Linked DNA regions of Callithrix jacchus. The protein of the gene in region 1 purifies or fractionates together with the protein of each later gene. This does not show direct contact. Links are inferred from orthologs where the notes say so. Each region holds a gene or a part of one and is shown on either strand. Other genes may lie near its edges. The genes, in order: CDC25B, FBXW11 and CDK1.

Evidence for each region.
Region 2: the proteins of CDC25B (region 1) and FBXW11 purify together in Homo sapiens (affinity purification with mass spectrometry; 14 studies listed by BioGRID and IntAct, counting the BioPlex papers as one, with this or other methods). This does not show direct contact. The link is inferred for Callithrix jacchus from reciprocal best matches to the Homo sapiens genes CDC25B and FBXW11.
Region 3: the proteins of CDC25B (region 1) and CDK1 purify together in Homo sapiens (affinity purification with western blotting; 4 studies listed by BioGRID). This does not show direct contact. The link is inferred for Callithrix jacchus from reciprocal best matches to the Homo sapiens genes CDC25B and CDK1.

What each region holds. Positions count from the first base shown.
Region 1 is NC_133506.1:11,330,910-11,334,562, reverse strand, and holds part of CDC25B (M-phase inducer phosphatase 2), read right to left. Parts: intron 3,590-3,653; coding exon 3,494-3,589; intron 2,668-3,493; coding exon 2,605-2,667; intron 2,454-2,604; coding exon 2,355-2,453; intron 2,164-2,354; coding exon 2,030-2,163; intron 867-2,029; coding exon 755-866; intron 616-754; coding exon 475-615; 3' UTR 1-474. UniProt on the Homo sapiens protein: Tyrosine protein phosphatase which functions as a dosage-dependent inducer of mitotic progression. Directly dephosphorylates CDK1 and stimulates its kinase activity.
Region 2 is NC_133503.1:64,156,335-64,159,987, reverse strand, and holds part of FBXW11 (F-box/WD repeat-containing protein 11), read left to right. Parts: intron 1-2,130; coding exon 2,131-2,249; intron 2,250-3,653.
Region 3 is NC_133513.1:69,669,284-69,672,936, reverse strand, and holds part of CDK1 (cyclin-dependent kinase 1), read left to right. Parts: intron 1-3,100; coding exon 3,101-3,257; intron 3,258-3,653. UniProt on the Homo sapiens protein: Plays a key role in the control of the eukaryotic cell cycle by modulating the centrosome cycle as well as mitotic onset; promotes G2-M transition via association with multiple interphase cyclins.

The DNA.
Region 1 (3,653 bases):
GGTTCCTACAGAGGTTAGGGGCTGCTGTGGCCTGGGAGATGCACAGGGCAGAGAGCTGACTCCCAGGCCAGGAAGGAGTTTAGCTGTGACCCATCCTTGGGGACCAGGGCTGTCCCCCAGCCTCAGCTGACACACATACAAAGGAGCTTTTCAGGACACAGGAAGATGAAGGGTTAACCCTAACAAGGGAAAAACCTCCTGGAGGACACAAAATACTGCCTTTAAGCTGGTATTAACCCAGCTTAACTAACTCAACAGACTGGGCTCTTCCAGGAGTGTGGGGGCACCAGGATATGGAAAATGATGGGATGAAACAGGGGAATCGGGGCTGGGGCAGACAGGCAGGATACCCACACCATCTTTCCCAAGGACAGCACCTGAGGCCTCCAGCAGGCCCTCAGCCAAGCAGGCCCGTAGGGCAGCTGGCTCCAGGCCTTGAAAGGCAAGGGAGGTAACAGGACCGATGCAGGCCCCTCACTGGTCCTGCAGCCTGCTGCAGAGCTCCCGCCGGCTCCGCTCCCCAGCCCAGCTGCGGGTCTTCAGGCGGAAGGTCTTTAGCTCATCCTTGAAGGCCTGGTGGTTCATGGGCCGGTAGTCCTGCGGTTCACAGAAGTTCTAGGGCAGGATAAGAGGGGTCAATGCAGTGGAATGGGTAACCTTGGCAGGGACCCAACCCTCCCACCCCGCTTCCCAGGGCTCGGGAATGGCCAAGCCAACCCTCACACAGAGCTGGTGGCATTGCCACCCACGCTACCGGGTGCTGAGGGAAGAACTCCTTGTAGCCGCCTTTCAGGATATACATCTCGGGATAGTAGAGGCTGGGGTAGTCATTGACAGAACGGTCTCGCTCCCTGATGAAACGGCACCTGAGATGGCACGGGCAGGGTGTGGTCAGAGCGGGGCATGCAGTGGCTTGTACATCATGGGACCTATTCCCCACATCCACTCCTCTGAGGGCCCTGGGAAGCCACAGAAGGCTTTTGAGTACAGGAATGTAACCACAAGAACACTTTCAGATCAGTCTGGCTATACAGAAGAGGGTGGGGGAGGTGGAAGGAAGAAGGTAAAATCAAGGGAATGGGCTCTCCATTTCTAGAAGACAGTTGCACCATCTTTGTTAGCGATATCTGTGCCTGGACCAGGAAAGGAAAAGCAGGAGAGGAGACAAGTGGGCCAAATTCAAGCGATCCATTCAGGTCACTCGTGGATAAGACCCAGTGAGGACCAGTGGTGGGGAGAAGGGAGGAGGAGGGCCCAAGACTGAAGCCAGTGCCCAGGCCCAGTGCCTGGGTAGAGGTGGGTGCCATGTGCTGGGATGCCTGGAGAAAATGGGAGGGCAGCAGGGATGAGGTCTCTGTAAGGGGCATCTGGGTGCAGATTCCCAGCACATGGGTGAGGCCAGGCTGGAGAGCCACTAGCAGTCAGATGGACCAGTGGCAACCCAGGAAGAGGTAAGGGTGGGAGGACGGATGGCCAGGCAGAGCAGGAACAGAGATGGAAGGAGCTCAGCCAGGGTTGGGGAGGCCCAGGTGCTGTGGATGCCAGCAGAGCAGGTTCCAATGGAGACCTAACAGCACCGAACACTGGAAGGGTCAGGGTCACTGGAGACTGACACAGGGCCCTTGGATTTTGAGAAAGGCACTGCTAGAGACTTGGAACCAGATTTTCTGGTGGGTGGCGGCAAGGATGGGGTTGCAGACATGAGGCCTGATAGGCAGGACTGTGAGGGGGAAGGGAGGTGGGTACCATGCACAGTGAAGAGGGGCTGAGGTCAGCTCCAGGCCATCAGGTGGGACAGTCCAGCAAATCTGGTTCCAAGTCTCTAGCAGTGCCTTTCTCAAAATCTAAGGGCCCTGTGTCAGTCTCCAGTGACCCTGACCCTTCCAGTGTTCAGTGCTGTTAGGTCTCCATTGGAACCTGCTCTGCTGGCATCCACAGCACCTGGCCATCACAATGGTGCCAGCACATGTAAGCCTGGGCAGGGAAGGCTGGGGCAAACACTGGCTGGCTGGGTGGAGCTGGGACTCACATTCGGGGCCCACGCTCAGATGAGAATTCACAGTGGAAAATGAGGATGACTCTCTTGTCCAGGCTACAGGGTGTGATGGGGCTCTGCAACAGAAAGCTCTCGGCGTCTCGTTCCAGAGGCAAGTTCACCGCAGTCTGCCAGGAAGCCAGAGGTCAGGCACAGCCCGGGGCCCCTCCCAGGAGGCAGGCTCCTCCCCCTGCAGTCCCTGTCCTCCTCTTACTGGTCAGGAACTCCCCATGAGAGGGCGTACCCGTCCTCCATTCACTCTCTTAGCAAAGCAAGGACCTAAACCAGGTGGGATCTTCAAGGCCTCTCCCCACCTTACCTTGATGTGCCCACCTTCATACTCATAGGGGTATCTGCAGTCCACAATCACAAACTTCTCCACGATGTTGCTGAACTTGCCCATCAACAGGGCCACCATCTATAGGAGGTCATGGGAGTCGGTCAGGATGGCAGCTGGCAGATGGCCCTAGCCTGTCCTCTGGCCTAGTCTATGCAGCCCGTCCCCAGGGAAGGTCAACAACGGAGCTGCAGTCCTAAATGCGCCCAGAAAATAGTGCAATGCTGTTTACCGTTTCTGGTGAAATGTACTTGAGGTCTTGGTGCTTTCCATCGACAGTCTGTAGGAGGAAGGCCTGAAGGGAAGGGAAGGGATGGAGAAAGTTAAATTGGTAAGACCAGGAGCCTGAAAAGGATGAAGTTTCATTTTCAAGCCCAGAGGCCACACCTGCTTTGGCCTTCAAATTCAGCTCTGGTTCCCATAGCAACTGAGAAGCACCTCTTGGGTCTGACACCTAGGGAACAACCTTCCAAGGGGAAAGGAAAACGAAAAAGGGAAGCGGAAGAGATGGACCCCACACTCTGCTCCCTACCCTCTGCCAAGCCCACAGGTGAGGCATGAGGGGGTTCCAAGCTAGGTATGAGCTTGGAAATAAGATGGAGATACAACAGATGGCTGGAGTAACTTGAGGTAGAGTCAGGGGACCAAGGAGGGCCAGAGGGAGGAGTCTGTGTAAGAACAAAGGATAAAAAGATATAAAGGACAACCCACGTGGTGGCTCACGCCTGTAATCCCAGCACTTTGGGAGGCGAAGGTGGGTGGATCACCTGAGGTCTGGATTTCAAGACCAGCCTGGCCAACATGGCGAAAACCTGTCTCTGCTAAAAATACAAAAATTAGCTGGGCATGGTGGCACATGCCTGTAATCCCAACTACTTGGGAGGCTGAGGAAGGAGAATTGCTTGAACCCAGGAGTTAGAGGTTGCAGTGAGCTGAGATCATGCCACTGCACTCCAGCCTGCAGGATGGGAGCAAGACTCCATCTCAAAAAAAAAAAGATACAAAGGACAAAGAAAATGGGGGCTCTGGGAGAGAGGGAGGAACCCAAGCAGCCCCTGGGCTAGAGGGTTCCTAGTCAGTAACAGGTCCAGCCCCCCAGACTCCTTCGATGCCACAGGTACCTTAGAGTAATCTCCAATCAGCTCTCGGTGGTCACTGTCCAGGAGGTTCTCGATCTCATCATGACACAGTGATTTTGAGCGGAGGACTCGGGCTTTCTGGAAAGTGAGTCAGATGGAGGCCAGGGTCAGGGGTGGGGCTGCCCTCAGTGCCCTGTCTGGC
Region 2 (3,653 bases), on another chromosome or scaffold:
GGAATTACTGTAAAACTGCAGTAATCACGACGGTGTGGTGCTGGCAACAGAATGGACAGCTAGATCCATGGAAAAGAATAGAGAGCCCAGAAATACATACCTTCACAAATATAGTCACCTGATCTTTTACAAAGGTAATACAATGGAGAAAAGATAGTCTCTTCAGCAATTGGGCAGAAGCAACTAGACACCATATTGCCTCCTTTACTCCCAAATAATACAGACACAGATCCTATATACTTCACAAAAATTAAATCAAAATGGATTAAAGGCCTAGATGTAAAACAGAAAACCATAAAATTTGTAGAATACAATATAGTAGAAAACCCACATGATCTTGAGTTTGTTGGTGACTTTTTAGATACAATGTCAAAGGCATGCTTCATTAAAGAAAGAATAAGCTGGACTTCATTAAAATAAAAAATTTCTGTTCTGTGAGAGACATTGTCCAGAGAATGAAAAAACAAGCCACAGACGAGAGAAAATATATGCAAAAGACATAGAAAGAGCTCTTGAATCTCAACAGTTAGAAAATTAATTAACCTATTAAAAAAAAAAAATAAGGCATAGACCTTAACAGACATGTCACCAAAGAAGATACACAGATGGCATATAAGCATGTGACAAGATGTTCCACGTAAGTCATCAGGGAAATGTGGATTATAACAATGAGACACCACTGCACACCTGTTAGCATGGACAAAATCCAGAACACTGACAACACCCAATGCTGGCGAGCATGTGGAGCAACAGGAACAGGAGCTTGAATTCACTGCTGGTGGAAATACAAAATGGTACAGCCACGTTGTAAGGCAGTTTGGCAGTTCTTACAAAACTAAACATACTTTTACCATATGATCCAGCAGTTGTGCGACTTAATATTTACACAACGGAATCAAAAACTTATGTCTACACAAAAGCCTGGACCCAGATGTTTATGGCAGCTTTGCCCATAATTGCCCAAACTTGGAAGCAACCAAGGTGTCCTTCAGTAGGTATATGGATAAATAAACTGTAGTACATCTAGACAACAGGGATAATTTTCAGCACTAAAAAGGAACGTATATCAAGCCATGAAAAGACAGGGAGGAAGTTTAAATGTGTATTACTATGTGAAAGAAGCCAATCTAAAAAGGCTACATACTGTATGATTCCAACTCTGTGACATTCTAGAAAAGACAAATCTGTGGAAGCCGTAAAAGAAGCGAGAAAAGGAACACTCAGGAGTATGAAAACAACTATTAATAACAATTTCCTTCCTTTAATCCTTTTTTCCTTTTCTGCAGTATATACATAGTCATTGTGTCACTTTATAATTTTTATTCTGATTTTTAAAAATGCTTAACTTTGTAATGAAGCATGATATTTTCTCATTAAAAACTCTTCATAGTTTACTTTGAGACTTTTATGAAATGTTGGACATTTTATTTTTGTAAACATAGGGGTATGCATTTTTAAAAGGTCTTAATAGTTATGTTGTCATGTTGCTTTCCAGAGATTGAGCCACTTCTTTATTTTTACGAGACATAAAATAAAATGGAAAAGCAGGGTCCTGCCTTGTCACCCCGGCTGGAGTACAGTGGTGTGATTGTGACTCACTGCAGCCTTGCCTCCTGGGCTCAAGCAATCCTGTCACCTTAGCCTCCCGAGTTGCTGGGACTACAGGCAGACACCACCATGCCTGGCTAATTAAAAAAAAAAAAAAAAACATATATAAAATTTGTGGAGATGGGTTTCCCAGGCTGGTATTGAACTTCTGGGCTCAAGTGATACTTCTGTCTCTGCCTCCCAAAGTGTTGGGATTACAGGCATGAGCCATAGCACCCAGCCAGTGAGTGACTTCTTTTCACAGATTTTATTTTTTAAAAGTTCCCTTTATGAGGCCATTGGTAAGTGTAATGAGATTAATAGCTAAGGGTTCAAATTAAACAAAATAGCACATCTATCCTAGTAGTTAACCACTATTGTCTGTATTCCTACTTGTTTCTTACCTGTTTGATATTCAATGTTTCTTATTTACTATAACCCAAGTATTTCATTTTATAATCAGAACATAAGGTGGGACAGTAATATTCATCAAAATATAGTATAATAATAAATCGTTGTTTGTGGCTAATCTTGTCTCAATAGATTTGGGATAAAACCAGCCTGGAATGTTTGAAAGTGTTAACAGGACACACAGGCTCTGTCCTCTGCCTGCAATATGATGAGCGTGTCATTGTAACTGGCTCTTCAGATTCTACAGTGAGGTGAGTGATCTGGCTTTGTTGATCTTGTAAGCCTTCCCTGAGAAAGTCTGTGATTGACATCCTCCTCTGGGAGAGGCATACATAAACTTTGCATACATTTTTACAGGCTGTGTTTCAAACTACTTTTGTTGTAGATATGTTTGAGCAAATTAGGCAAAACAGCTAATTTAAGAGTGTTGCTGTTCATTTTAGAGATGATAACATGCTTTCCTGTACGAGCACATACCAAGTATTAGTCTGGCTTTTTCCTTTTGGGAAACTGTGGTCCAGAGCAGAGAGGAGGAAGGCAGCTATTCTAGGAGTGTGGTGGGCACCACCTACAAATACTGAAAGACTCAAAAGCAGTTTGCAGAATCTTTTCAGCAACACCAGGAAAGTAAAATGTGAGAGCGGATAGTATACTCGGTACTCTGTATCATTTTATCAGTTCTCACATCAACCTTTCTGAAGAGGCAGATGTTACCTCCATTTTTGGAGTTGTATTAGGAAACCAAGACCAGAGAGATTAAATAATTTGCTCAGAGTCACAGAATTAATAAATTTTGAACCTTGAATTGATTCAAGTCATGACTGTATATGTAGCCTTGCCAGTAGTGGAAGCACTGATTTTCATTTGTCACTGAGTGGCAGAATGATGAAGATGAAAGTGGCAATGTTCTGCAGTACAAGGAAAGCAATGACGTTTGGGTAAGAGGTGAGCGAGTAGAAAGGGAACATTATTGATATCCATTCCTATACCTCTGGGATAAACGCATTTTTTTCACACCAGATGGGCTTGGGAGTTGGGTGTAGTGATGAGGCCATCAGAGCTGTAGGTCACACAGGAAAGCCTCAGCAAGACTACTGGTATCTGGAGGAAATGTGAAAGAGAAGGAAACAGCTCTTCTGGGTTGGGTCAGATATTTGAAGAGGATTGTTTTACAGGTACACGAGCCTAAGCGATTGGAATGGTCACTGAGTCTGTCTTTGGATACCCACGTTCTCCCCTTTTCACTCCTCTTTATGTTAGTTGTTGTTATTAGCCTCTCACTTCACTCCTGGACACTCTCACCACCCGTTTAAAGCACGCCTAGTATCCTCCTCTGGACTCATTGCTTCTGTACCACTGCTTCTGCCAGAGATTGTGTCTGAGCCTCAGAGGCCTGAGTCTTTTCTCCTCTGCCCTGTGTGAACTTGTCCTCTAAGGAAATGAGGGTTACAAAAAAGCCATGATGTGGAGGTGCTGCCCCCAAATCCCTGGATGTACAAAGCAGTTGCTAGATCCTGGCTTTGTCCATAAAGCAGCCGGATAAAGAAGTGGATGTGATGATTGATGAGGCATCATGACTTACCCAATTTGCAGTGGATAAATAATAGACTCAGAGGCCTGTCAGAGGTCAACAAGAACTGGAAGCTTGGAACTAT
Region 3 (3,653 bases), on another chromosome or scaffold:
ACCATAGGTCCTTGAGAGCTGGATTTTTGTCTTGTTCACAACTGTTTGCCCACTCCTTGGCAGTAGTGCATAATACACAGGAGATACATGAATAGATAATAATAACAACTATTTTCCTTGTTTGTTCTTCTGAACTCTGTTGTTTCTTTTTCTGGCTTGGATTGTCTTTTCAACTCCAGTGCCTGATTGTTTTGGATTATGTTCTGGATATTATTTTGGAAAAATGAACTTGTGGAAATAATTGGAAGCCTAAATAATCCACACACAATTTTTTTTTTGTTTCTGCCAGGTATCTGGTTAAAGTCTAGTATTAAAGTACTGTTTTTAAAGTTATATTTTTTTCCCCTCAACTTTTCTTTTTGAACATTTCCAAATCTATAGATATACTGAAAGATTTATGCATGAACTTGTAATACTTTACGAAGATATTGGTGTTTTGTCATATTTACTTTATTTGTGTGTATGTTAACACAAATTTATTTTTTATTTTTCTCATTGACAGATTTTAATGGTACATATTTATGGGGTATGGTTTGGTGATTTGATACATGTATGTGTTGTATGATCCAATCAGAGTAATTAGCCTATCCATCACTTCATCATTTCTTTGTGGTGAGAACATTCAGATGTTTTGCGTTTTAATGCATTTCAAGTAAGTTGTAGAGATATTCTTCCCCTAAATCTGTGGGTATATTCTGAATATTTACCCAAGGTCATGCCTTTCATGTGGCAGTTAATACCTCTTTTAATTCTGAAAAGACAGTCTCTGCCTTTTCTCTCAGTTGACAGTGAGTCTTGACAACCTAATTCATTTCTTAAATACATCCAGACTTTTCTATTTTAAATATTACAAAAATTGTTCTCTGGCTTCTTCTGAATTACAGAAATCTGAGTGTTGTCATACTAATCCTTGAACTCCTCCTTCCTGTCTTAAGAAAATGTCTTTTTGGATCATGGAGTAGCTGTATCCATGGTAGTGAAACCTTACCCGGCATTTAGTAGGCGTTTGATAAATACTTACTTAAGGAAGTTCTTCTGCTTATGGGCCTCCATAACTTGATCATATTTTACATATTTTTTTATTTGTTTGTTTCCTGGGATAAGTCTTCTGGTAGATTTAGGCTGATCTCCTAGGCTTACCTGTGTTAATGATTTTTGCTTCCTTAGTTATTTATAATTAGTTAGATACCCTAGAGTATTTCTATCTTTGGAATTCTTAGTTCAGTTTGGAGCATATATGATGTATTTAAAAAATAATTTTGGATGATTAACCAATAGAATAGTTCTGCTTTGTTTAATCCCATTCCAGTAGTTCAGTGAGAAGTAATATTATCTCTAAAATTCAACACATTGATTGTTGGCCACTGGTTAATCAATTGTTAATTCTGAAAATTATTTAGGATTAGATGAGATTGTACACTTGAGGGAAAAGAAAGGGTGTTAGAAAAAAAATTAGTTCTGAATTTACCATTAACTGCTTATTTGACTGTATTTTGCAGGTGACTAATCTTCCCAAGATCTCTTTAACAGTATGCTAGATGAGTGTGCTACTCGTTTACCTACTTTTTGTGTTTAATGTGAGCTTAATTTATATCCAAAAAAGTATAGATTTTATGTGTATGAAGGTTACCTACTTTTAAGGATGGCTGTGAGGATAAAATATAGTCAGTTCTCCTTTAACAGAGTAATTTTGGTTATCAACAAGTTATACATTAATCCACAATTGAAATAATATAAAATGAATTTTATGTCAGTTTATAGTTTTAAAATGACATCAGTATTTAAGAAAACAGATTTTGTGTAGAGTCTCTGTCAAAAAATTAGAACAAAGCTTAAGTAACATCAATTTGCTACTGCTCAAAGGGCTTAATATTCTAACTAAGCAGTTGGTAATTTGCTGGTTGTTAGCCTTTTTTGAAATATTGGTACCTTCAGAGAAACTCATAAAAGCTATAGAAGAGGCCTTCTTCCTAATCACTTTTGAAGTTAAACCAATGCCATGGAAAGCAAAAGCCATTCAACAACATTTTATGTGTACTTAAGGAGTTCAGGATTTCCCTAAACTTCGACCCAATTTTACAAAGACTTACCTAGGGAATTCAGTGCTGCCACATATATGATGTATTTTAGACAGTCTTCTTGCTTATTGCCATTTCATTCCCTGTATTCACCTCCTCCCTCCCTACTGTCCCTTACAATTGACATTGCGCATTACCTGAAGCCAATATATCAAAATCAGTGTTTTCATCAACTTGCAAATGGGTGTGAGGCTTTCCTAATATATATAGTACATACTATGTGCTTTAATAGGTCTAATAAACAAACACCTGGTCTTTTATCTCCATTCTTTTGAGAATGAGGACTGTTTACTGTATTTTGAGATATAGATGAAAGTGTTATGAAAAGCATAAAACACTGCAGAATTTTCTAAAAGTATCATGGTGACTCTTATCAGTAGTATTTCATGAGCCCACATTTTTACACTATATTTTATGCCGACTTTATTGCTGGGTAGGATTTTGGCAGGAGGTTAATTTTAATTTGCAAATGATCTATTTTCTTCTGTAAAATATGCTGGAACATTAACGGTAATTTAAATGTATAGAAAACTTGTGATGACTACATGAATCATATTTTTAAGCCATACAGATTGTGGCAACTCTCAATTTCTTTTTGGAAGCAATGAGGGTATGAGTAAGATATTTCCCATCTGGCCATGCCAGACATTTCTATCATGTGACCCCTATGGGATTCAATAATCTTAAAATCTTAGTTTGACCAGGTATGGTGGCTCAGCACTTTTCAACGGTGAGTCAGGTGGATTGCTTGAGCTCATGTATTCCAGACCAGCCTGGGCAACATGGTGTGAAACCCCATTTCTGCCAAAAATTAACTAGGTGTGGTGGCATGTGCTTGTAGTTTCAGCTACATGGGAGTGTGAGGATCCCTTGAGCCCAGGAGGTAAAGGTTGTAGTGAGCTTTGATCGCCCCACTGCACTCCAACCTGGACAAGAGAACAAGAACCTGCCTCAGGAAAAAAAAAAAAAGATCTTTCAGTTTGTGGGTTGTGTCACACAGTGTATTATTTACTTTGTTTCAGGTACCTATGGAGTTGTGTATAAAGGTAGACACAAAACTACAGGTCAAGTGGTCGCCATGAAAAAAATCAGACTAGAAAGTGAAGAGGAAGGGGTTCCTAGTACTGCAATTCGGGAAATTTCTCTATTAAAAGAACTTCGTCATCCAAATATAGTCAGGTATGGAATGATATCTGAATGTAAGCCATTTTCTGCATGCTGTTTCAAATGTAAATTTCAACTTGGAAATCTTAACATTTGCTTAATTTCTTGATCTAGCTTTACTGAGTGGACTAGAACCCTACTATTTTTGTTAGCTGAGAATGCTGCACATATGTAAAATAGAATAGGCTGTTAAAGCAGGAACACAGTCACAGGAGCTTGGTGATGTAGATTAATATTTGAGACTGGAAAAGCAAGGTAAATTGGCCATGGGAATAAAGCCCTTTTTATAGAGCTTTGTCAACTCTCTCTTACTTAGGAGTTCTAGTCCTGAAGACACTTTAGTCGGAGTCTTAAGAAAGGTAGCTAGGTCAAATGAAAAAGATTTTTTTCCTTCAAGTATTTGCACTGGGT